Linked DNA regions of Rattus norvegicus. The main gene of each other region encodes a partner of the protein of the gene in region 2 in a complex. Links are inferred from orthologs where the notes say so. Each region holds a gene or a part of one and is shown on either strand. Other genes may lie near its edges.

The links.
Region 1: the proteins of Nr0b2 (region 2) and Nr5a1 are in contact, whole or in part, in a crystal structure (PDB 1YMT), measured with the Mus musculus proteins. The link is inferred for Rattus norvegicus from reciprocal best matches to the Homo sapiens genes NR0B2 and NR5A1. Residues at the interface, in NP_035980.1 of Mus musculus: Thr19, Ile20, Leu21, Tyr22, Leu24, Leu25, Ser26; in NP_001303616.1 of Mus musculus: Ile275, Val278, Arg282, Phe287, Val292, Gln295, Met296, Leu299, Gln300, Asn450, Leu452, Glu455, Met456.

The regions. Positions count from the first base shown.
Region 1 is NC_086021.1:42,878,784-42,882,590, reverse strand, and holds part of Nr5a1 (steroidogenic factor 1), read left to right. Parts: intron 1-478; coding exon 479-626; intron 627-3,807. UniProt on the Homo sapiens protein: Transcriptional activator. Essential for sexual differentiation and formation of the primary steroidogenic tissues. Binds to the Ad4 site found in the promoter region of steroidogenic P450 genes such as CYP11A, CYP11B and CYP21B.
Region 2 is NC_086023.1:151,061,448-151,066,044, reverse strand, and holds the start of Nr0b2 (nuclear receptor subfamily 0 group B member 2), read right to left. Parts: upstream 2,886-4,597; 5' UTR 2,852-2,885; coding exon 2,311-2,851; intron 106-2,310; coding exon 1-105. UniProt on the Homo sapiens protein: Transcriptional regulator that acts as a negative regulator of receptor-dependent signaling pathways. Specifically inhibits transactivation of the nuclear receptor with which it interacts.

The DNA.
Region 1 (3,807 bases), on a different chromosome or scaffold from region 2:
AGAGAGAGAGAGAGAGAGAGAGAGAGAGAGAGAGAGAGAGACTCACAGAGAGAGAGAGAGAGAGAGAACAAGTAAGGTGGTAATGAACCAGCTCTTGTATGGTGGCCATTTCCTGTGCTCAGCAGAACCACCCACACTGCCTCCTCCCCTGCCCCAGGGAAGGGCACTTGTCAAAGTCAGCTATGCAAGAACAGTCCGCACTACAGGGCTGAAGGCAACCCCTTTTAAAGGAAGTATCCTTCAGCTCCCAGTGCTCCCACTACCTGATGCCTGCCCCACTGCCACTAAAGATGGGGCCAGCCAGCCACGGGTGCTCAGCTTGGTTCAACAAATGGAACAATGCTGGCAAAATGGTGGCCAGAGGCTCAGTGCTTGACCCAAGTCACTGATCAGAACCTTCTGCCCTGTACCCTTTCACCCAAGCCCCTGTCTCCCTCTCTCTCTGCCGGCCTCTCTGACCTGCCCTCTGCCGGTGCAGGTGGAGCTGAGCACGGTGGCTGTGCAGGCTGGCTCCCTGCTGCACAGCCTGGTGCTGCGGGCACAGGAGTTGGTGCTGCAGCTGCATGCCCTGCAACTGGACCGCCAGGAGTTTGTCTGTCTCAAGTTCCTCATCCTCTTCAGCCTCGGTGAGTGGCCTCTGGAGGCTCTGCAGTGGAGGGTGGTAAAGACATTGGGGTAGTACTGTGGTTAGAGAACCCAAGGGACAAGGATCCTCCTTTAGTGAGTGTTATAAGGGCACATGGCCAGGGTCTGGGTGCTCCCTGGAGGGCCATGGTTTCTCAGTGTGAAATCCCAAAGACCGAGATGTTGTCGGTGTTTTGCTTTTTATGGGGTGGAAACCTTTCTGAACATCTGATTTGTTTCTGACCAATCACGACAGAAATTGCTCTTCATACCCAGCACACTTAAATGCCTGCTGCGTTTAGGACTCTTTCTTCCCTGACTCCCATCCTGGGGTCCCTGTTTTCCCTAATTCCCTGAACTACAGGGACCCCCTGTAGTTCTGACGCTAGATCCCTTCTCCTGTACATTCATTCATTCATTCTGCAAACACCCGCTGAACACCTGCCTGGTGCCAGGGACTGGAGGCAACGTAGCCAATGGGAAAGACCCCAACTACTGCCCTCAGAGCCATGCACTTGGGGGAACAGCAAGTGTCTTATAAAGGGAGGAATACATAGATGGGGACTACATAGCAGCTAGATGCCACAGATATGAAGGTATGCCTCAGAGAGCCCAAGTCCTGGGATAGAAAGCTTGGAGGAGCCTTAGTGTATGAGTTGGATGGAAGATTCCGCAGCAGGGAAGCAGTTATGGGATGGGAGGGAAGAGAGAATGGAGACCTGTCTTTGCAGCAGTCTGGCAATGATGCTACCTAGAGTGTAGGAAGTATTTGGAAACAGAGAGAAGAAGGGAGCTGGAGAGAAAGCCCAGTACTCAGGCAGAGTTGGGCTACTTGCCACATCCATGTGGCAAGGGACAAGGGCCTGGGGACTCTCAGCCTGGCTAGTGCTCTAGAGAGTGTTAGGAAATGACCACAATGAAGTAGCCACCTTAGAGTGTAGCACAGCCTTAGGGGCCCTGGTCAGGATTGGGAGAATCTTGGGTGGGGGTGCTCAGCAAAGAGGACCTCTCAGCACCAGTCAGAGCCCCAGCATGACTCCCTTAAGGGAGCCCCACAGTCCCCTTTCTCCTACAGCCAAAGCTACTAGGTCCAGTTGGATGCTGGCCTCCCTATTTCTCTAGGGGCTAGGCTCAGTGGTGCCTTGACTTGGGGCAGTTCAGAGCCACCCTCCCAGCCCATATGCTAACTTCCCCTCCAGTAACTTGGAGAGATCAGTGCTAGAGTGGGGAGCATGGGAAGAGTCTCTGTATAAGTACATGGCTGCCTGGTTTCTACTCTGATCCCTCTGGCTTTGTGCAATTGAGCAAGTCACTCTCCAAGCCTCTATTTCCCCATGTGTGAAATGACATCCGTAAGTGTCCTTGACATACTGCAAGGGTACAATGAGGTAATTCTACCACGATCTTGGCCCTCAGAAGCATGTACTGATGTTCTTTATTAATCATCCTTATTAAGTCCATAACCAGATGAGCCAGAGTGACTGAACTAACCAGGCCACAGGCTCAGTCTTTATTAATGGTTTGTGTCTGGCTGAGGGCTTTATTGTCTCGGGTCTGGCCATGGTGTCTGAGGAGTTCTTAGCTCGGTGGGCCTGAAGTTGAGTTGAGGTTAGGGATGTCAGAGGCACAGGAGACAGTGATTCTGGGACCTCAACCTACTGGAGCCTAGAATGAGGGAACAATGACAGACACACACTGGGGCACAGAGTCCTTGGAAAGAGGCTTCAAGTTGGGATAGGAGGTGAGCAGTCCAGTATGACCAGAGTCGGGGCAACCCTACTGGGTTGGGATGCAGGATGAGGTGCGTACATCTGAGCTGGGCCTTGCAGTGTGAATAGGAGTGTTCTGGTGAAACAAGCAGAAGAAGCAGCCTGTTGGAAGTTATGGGGAGGGGAATGGGTGGAGAGGAGTCCACAAGGTAGACCCAGGATGAACTGTGCATGACCTCGGTTATTGGGCACCTTGAGCCTTCCTCTGGAATGGATCCCACTCTGGGGATAACCTGACCACCTCACATTTGCATATCACCATCTAAGGCCCTTCCGGCTCCAGCCTGGGGTAGGATAGTAGGTTGATAGCTCAGAGCCCTGCAGCAGGCAACTCCTGTATTTGGGTGATGGTGGATGGCCCTCTGACTCTGAAATGCAGGGCTCCTCGTCAGAGCTGAGCTTTCAGGAAAACTAGAACTCAAGGCAGGGCTGGTCACCTGTCCACAGACTTCCAGTCCGCCTGCTCGTGGCACCCTCAGCATCACCGCCCTGGGCTGGGCCGCCTCAAACCCAGGCAGTAACTGTCACCCACCCCCCACCCTGTCCCCCTCTACACACCTCCTTCTCGCCTGTCTCTGCAGAAGGGTGCCATTTGGCGTCTAAATAGCATCTCAGGCAGCTCAGAGGCAGGTAAGGAGGCTTAATTAAAATTAGTGCCTCTCTCCTGGCAATCGCAGTGTTTATGAAGATGGGCCCGGCCGGCATTGTTCCGCCGAGGACTTAATCGAAGCTTAATGGATTGACCTAACATTCGATTTCCTGATTCCCATTGAGGTGCACGGCAGCATTCCCTTAAGCGTTTGCAATTTACCCACCGCTCCAAGCCAACAAAAGACGGACTGAATAGCAGTGCCACTCGAGGGGCCATTGTGAGCGGGGGCGCCTGCCTGAGTCACTGCTATTGGGACAACATTCTTTATGCCTCGCTGGAATGAAAGGATTATTCAAATATTCAATTAAACCGTGAAAAGGGGGCTTTTCTGAGATCCTGGGGGCCCCCAGCTCATGGAGCTAGCGGCTGCTCCCAGGGTGGGGTGCCATCTCCCATCCCCTCCACCTCCAGGGATGTGGGCAGCACTGTCTGTCCTGCAGGCTCAGGCCCCAAGCTGGTACTCGGCAAGGGTCCCAGTCCTGACCTGCCCCATCTTATAAAAGATAGGTTCCGAGGTGGCGTCTGGTTGCAGAGCTGGGGTGTGAACCCCTTGACATGCAAAGGGGGAATCTCCAGGTTGCGGGATGATCCCTGTTCCCGAATCTGAGGGCATGCTCAGTGTTGCATGGCTGTCTTCCGTCCCTTAGACTGAGTGAGCTCAGGAAGTTGGAGAAGAGAGGTAAACTGATCTAAGCTTTCCAGGTGAGGGAAAACTTAGGTTTAAAGTCAGACCCAGGGTGGGATCTTAGAGAAAATCCGGTA
Region 2 (4,597 bases):
GGCCTTGGCTAGCTGGGTACCAGGGCTCCAGGACTTCACACAATGCCCAGTGAGCCTCCTGTTGCAGGTGTGCAATGTGGCAGGAGGCATGGAGGCCTGGCACATCTGTGGCAGAGAGGGTAAAGAGGGCCGGTGAGCATCTAAGTCTGTGGAGGTTTGCCCAGGGTGGGAGAATGTTAGCAGTTCCCTTCCCTCGTATGCTGGGGTGCAACTCAGGGCCTTGCGAATGCTAGTGTGCACTAGGCAGACATTCCACCATTGGGCTGCATGTTGATAGCCCCTTTAACATACTAGGGAAGTGGGCTGGAGAGATAGCTCAGTGGTTAAGAGCACCGACTGTTCTTCCAAAGGTCCTGAGTTCAAATCCCAGCAACCACATGGTGGCTCACGACCATCTGTAATGAGATCTGATGCCCTCTTCTGGTGTGTCTGAAGACAGTGACAATGTATATAAAAAACATACTAGGGAAGTACATCCTCAGCTCGTAAAGCCAGGAAGTTAGAGGACGGTTTTGTGGCGGGCGCTGGGAATAAAATCCAGGTCTGTGAGGCAATCTCTTCACTGATGAGTCCATGCCTTGGTCCCCTCTGCCACCTCGGAGGCCCCACCCACTGTCTCCTTCACTATTTACCACTTATCCATCCATCCACTATGGAGAGCAAGCAGATAATGTGGATGTAATGACGAAGACACACGGGCTGGAGAGATGGCTCAGTGGTTAACAGCACTGACTGCTCTTCCAGAGGTCCTGAGTTCAGTTCCTAGCATCCATGTTGTGCTTTACAAGTCCCTAGAACTCTAGTTTCAGAGGATCTGACGCCCTCTTCTGACATCTTTGTGACATCTCCTTGACAGGTGATGTGTACATATGCACACGCATGTAGGAGCTCATAAAGTAATGTATAAATAAATCTTTTTATTTTTACTTTTCATTTGATTTTTTTTAAAGACAGGGCATCTCTGTGTAGCCCTGGCTGTCCTGGAACTAGTTCTCTGACTGGGCTTGAACTCAGAGATCCCAGTGCCTTCCAATGCTGGAATTAAATGCTACCACCACCTGGCTAAATAAATCTTTTTTTTAAGATTTATTTATTTTATGTATACGATTACACTGTAGCTTTTCTCAGACACAAGAAGAGGGCATCAGATCCCATTACAGATGGTTGTGAGCCACCATGTGGTTGCTGGGATTTGAACTCAGGAGCTCTGGAAGAGCAGTCAGTGCTCTTAACTGCTGAGCCATCTCTCCAGTCCCTAAATAAATCTTAAAACCAAAAACCAAACCACCCCAAAACAAAAACAAAAAAAACCCAAAAACCTAACAAACAGAAAACAAAAACAAAAACAAACCCACCAAAAAACCAGGGTTTGAATCTCAGTGCAGCCACTTACTGGCTGAGTGACCTTGAGTAAGTAATTTAATCTTTCTGAGTGACCTTCCTTAAATGAGTACTTTAATCTTTGTGCTTCAACTTCTTCATCTGTCAAGTGGGGATAATGACAGTTCTGGTCACCCACACCTGTTATGAGGTTTAAGCAAACCAATATTTGTAAAGCCCTTAGACTGAGTCCTAACATATGGTAGATGTCATGGGACTAGTTGGGACGCCTACTCCTATGACGTGACATCGTACTTTAATTTCAAGGTCCGTCTCTTGTCTTCCTCAAAGCCACGAGGATTATTCTCCCAAGCTAGGCCATCTTGGTCTACGCAGTGAGTTCTAGACCAGCCAGAGTGACATGGTGAGACTGTGTCCCAGTTCTCCCTGTCACCCCATCACTCTTCTCCTGGCTTGACTTCACCCCACTCCCATACTCTCTCTCTCTTCTTCTCTGAGTGGCCTCCCTGAACCCACGGTGGACCTTCAGAACCTCACTATGCAGCCTGGCTTTGAAGATATATCTGCCAAGCAGCCATGTCCCCACCCCATCTACCCTCCCACACTCCCTAAGATGCAGGCCAAATTTCAGGAACCATGGCAAAAAGTAGTCTCTGCATTAGCTTGGTCTGCAGTCCCAGCTGTGTGACCTTCAGGTAGTGGCTTAACCTCTCTGTGCCTCTCCTATGAGGTATCTATTTTTTTTTTTTTTCTTTTCTATTTTTCGGAGCTGGGGACCGAACCCAGGGCCTTGCGCCTGATAGGCAAGCGCTCTACCACTGAGCTAAATCCCCAACCCGAGGTATCTATTTTTGAGGCTAAAAAGGACCCAAAGGTACAATGGATGCCAAGTCCCAAGAAAGCACTTTCCCTGGATGAGCCCTGTCCCCTCCCACCTTGGCCACCATCCAGGAGTGTCTGGAAGCTCACCTGGGTTGAAGAGGATAGTGCCTTTCAGGTATGCGTACTCCTTGGGACCCAGCTCAAGGCTCCAGAAAGACTCCAGGCAGTGCTGCAGCCACTGCACGGCAGCCAGTGAGGGTTGTGGTGGGTCTGGTGGCTGGGCACCCTGGGCACCACTGTTGGGTTCCTCTAGCAAGATCTTTTTAAGTATGCTGGGGACCGGAGCCTCGGCCACCTCAAAGGTCACAGTATCCTGGGCCAACCCAAGCAGGAAGAGAGGGCCCCAGCAGCCCTCTAGCAGCCGTCGCTGATCCTCATGGGGCAGGAGGCAGAAGGACGGCAGGTTCCTGAGGAAGGCTACAGTCTTGCCTAGGACATCCAAGGCCTCCCTGCAGGTGCGGTGTGGAGCACACAGGCGCACAGGCCGGTGTTGCTGGCACAGGCAGTGGCTGCGAGATGCGGGTGCCATGGGCCTGGTCCTGGGACCGGGGCTTAGAAGTGTGTAGAGAATGGTGGGGTGGCTTGCAGAGCCCTGGCATGGGCAGACCCCTGATTGGCTGGAGCTCATGGTCTGTGTCTTGTTCCTGTTTCTTCCTGGCTCTGTGGCCCTCTCTACGGAGTGCTATTTATATCCTTGATGGGCGGGAGGGGGACTGGCCAAACAACCTTGACTCCAGAAGTCATGTTCATTGAAAAAAAAAAAAAAAACCATACACACACACACAATGCATACACGCTGACCCTGGCAGGACTGGTGGAGAAGTGGTGGGGGAGGGGCACTGGAAGCTCCACGTGGCCTTGCTATCGCTTTAGTCAATGAAGTGGCCATTGCAGGGCACAGGGCCACCTGCCCACTGCCTGGATGCCCTTTATCGGATGACTCAAGTGTATAAACAGGGTTATTAACCCAGGCTGTACCAGGGCACCAAGGTCTCAGGCGTTCAACCAGCCAGGGGCTGGCCGTGACTGTTGTTTCTATTGGTGGCCGTTTTCATGTACACAAGACCAGGGTTCTCACAGAGCCAAGGAGCCAGCCAGGGAGCTGGCTAAAGCCTTGAATACAATACCCAGCCTGGAAGTGGCTTATCGCTGCTTTGTTTGCCTAACCTTGGGGCTCTGCTCCTGTTGTCGGTAAGGAACAGGCTGTAGGGAAGGGAGCCAGGTCCCTGGGGGACTTTGTTCACTGTACAGTCTAGGAGGCTGCCCTCCTGGGACTCCAGGACATGAACCCCTTTGGGAAGAAGACCTTTCAGAGCCCCTGCTCCCACCCTGCATTCCCATAGCTTCACAGAGGCTGGATCTGCCCTTGCAAAACCGAGGGCCTACATGGCTAACATTTAGTAAGGACCCCCCCAACCCCCCCACCCCCACACACTTGGTGTGGGTCTCGGTCCACTGTAACACTGAAGACTTCATTCTTACTCTGTGACACTCTGGAGGTGAAGTGACCTACTCAAAGTCACTCCGACGGGGACAGAGCACAGGTGCATCTGACCTCAAAGTCATCTTTGTTTGTTCCCCTGGATCAATTGTGCAGCCGAAGTGTGAATTTCCCAGAACTGGTGGCTAAGAGGCACCCCCCACCACATACTTGGTCTGCAGGTATGGCCTACCTGTGGTATGGGTAGAAACACATCTCTGCTAGCACATGACTCCTCTGTCTTGGACATTTGTCTCAAGCGGTCAGAGGTGAGGGACAAGGGACATGGGAGGGCCTCAGTTGTGTCGGGTTCCTGACCTTGGCTAGCCTTGCCTAGCAGGCTCCCTGTTGCCACATTCTTAGGCAACCTGGTGCTGTGGATAAAGAGAGATCTGGCATCCTCTGCCCTGGCATCTGGTTTAGGCTCCACGAGTCCCACTCACAGTGTGACTATCAGCTTGTCTCCAGTGTTCAGGGAGCCCCCCCCCCCATTTTATGTTTTTTCTAGACAGGGTTTCTCTGTGTAGCTCTGGCTGTCCTAAGAAATTGCTCTGTAGATCAGGTTGGTCTCAAATTTACAGAAATCCACCTGCCTCTGCCTCCCTAGTACTTAGGTTAAAGGCCCATGCCTCCCCCCAACCCCCAGCTGAGCCTTGGTATCTTAGGTGAGACCATAAGGTCTTCCTTCCTGTGGTACTGATTTAAGGACAGAGCAAAGTCCTGTGTAGACTATGAGACTGGCACCTGACTCTCTTCATCCCCAAAGACAAGCGGGCACACTGCTTTCACTGTAGTGGTGGATATCCTCAGCTCAGGTCCTGTTGGAAACGAAAGGACAGTCAGGGAGCGAAAGGAACAGTCACAGTGAGAAAACGCAGATGCACATGGACTGAT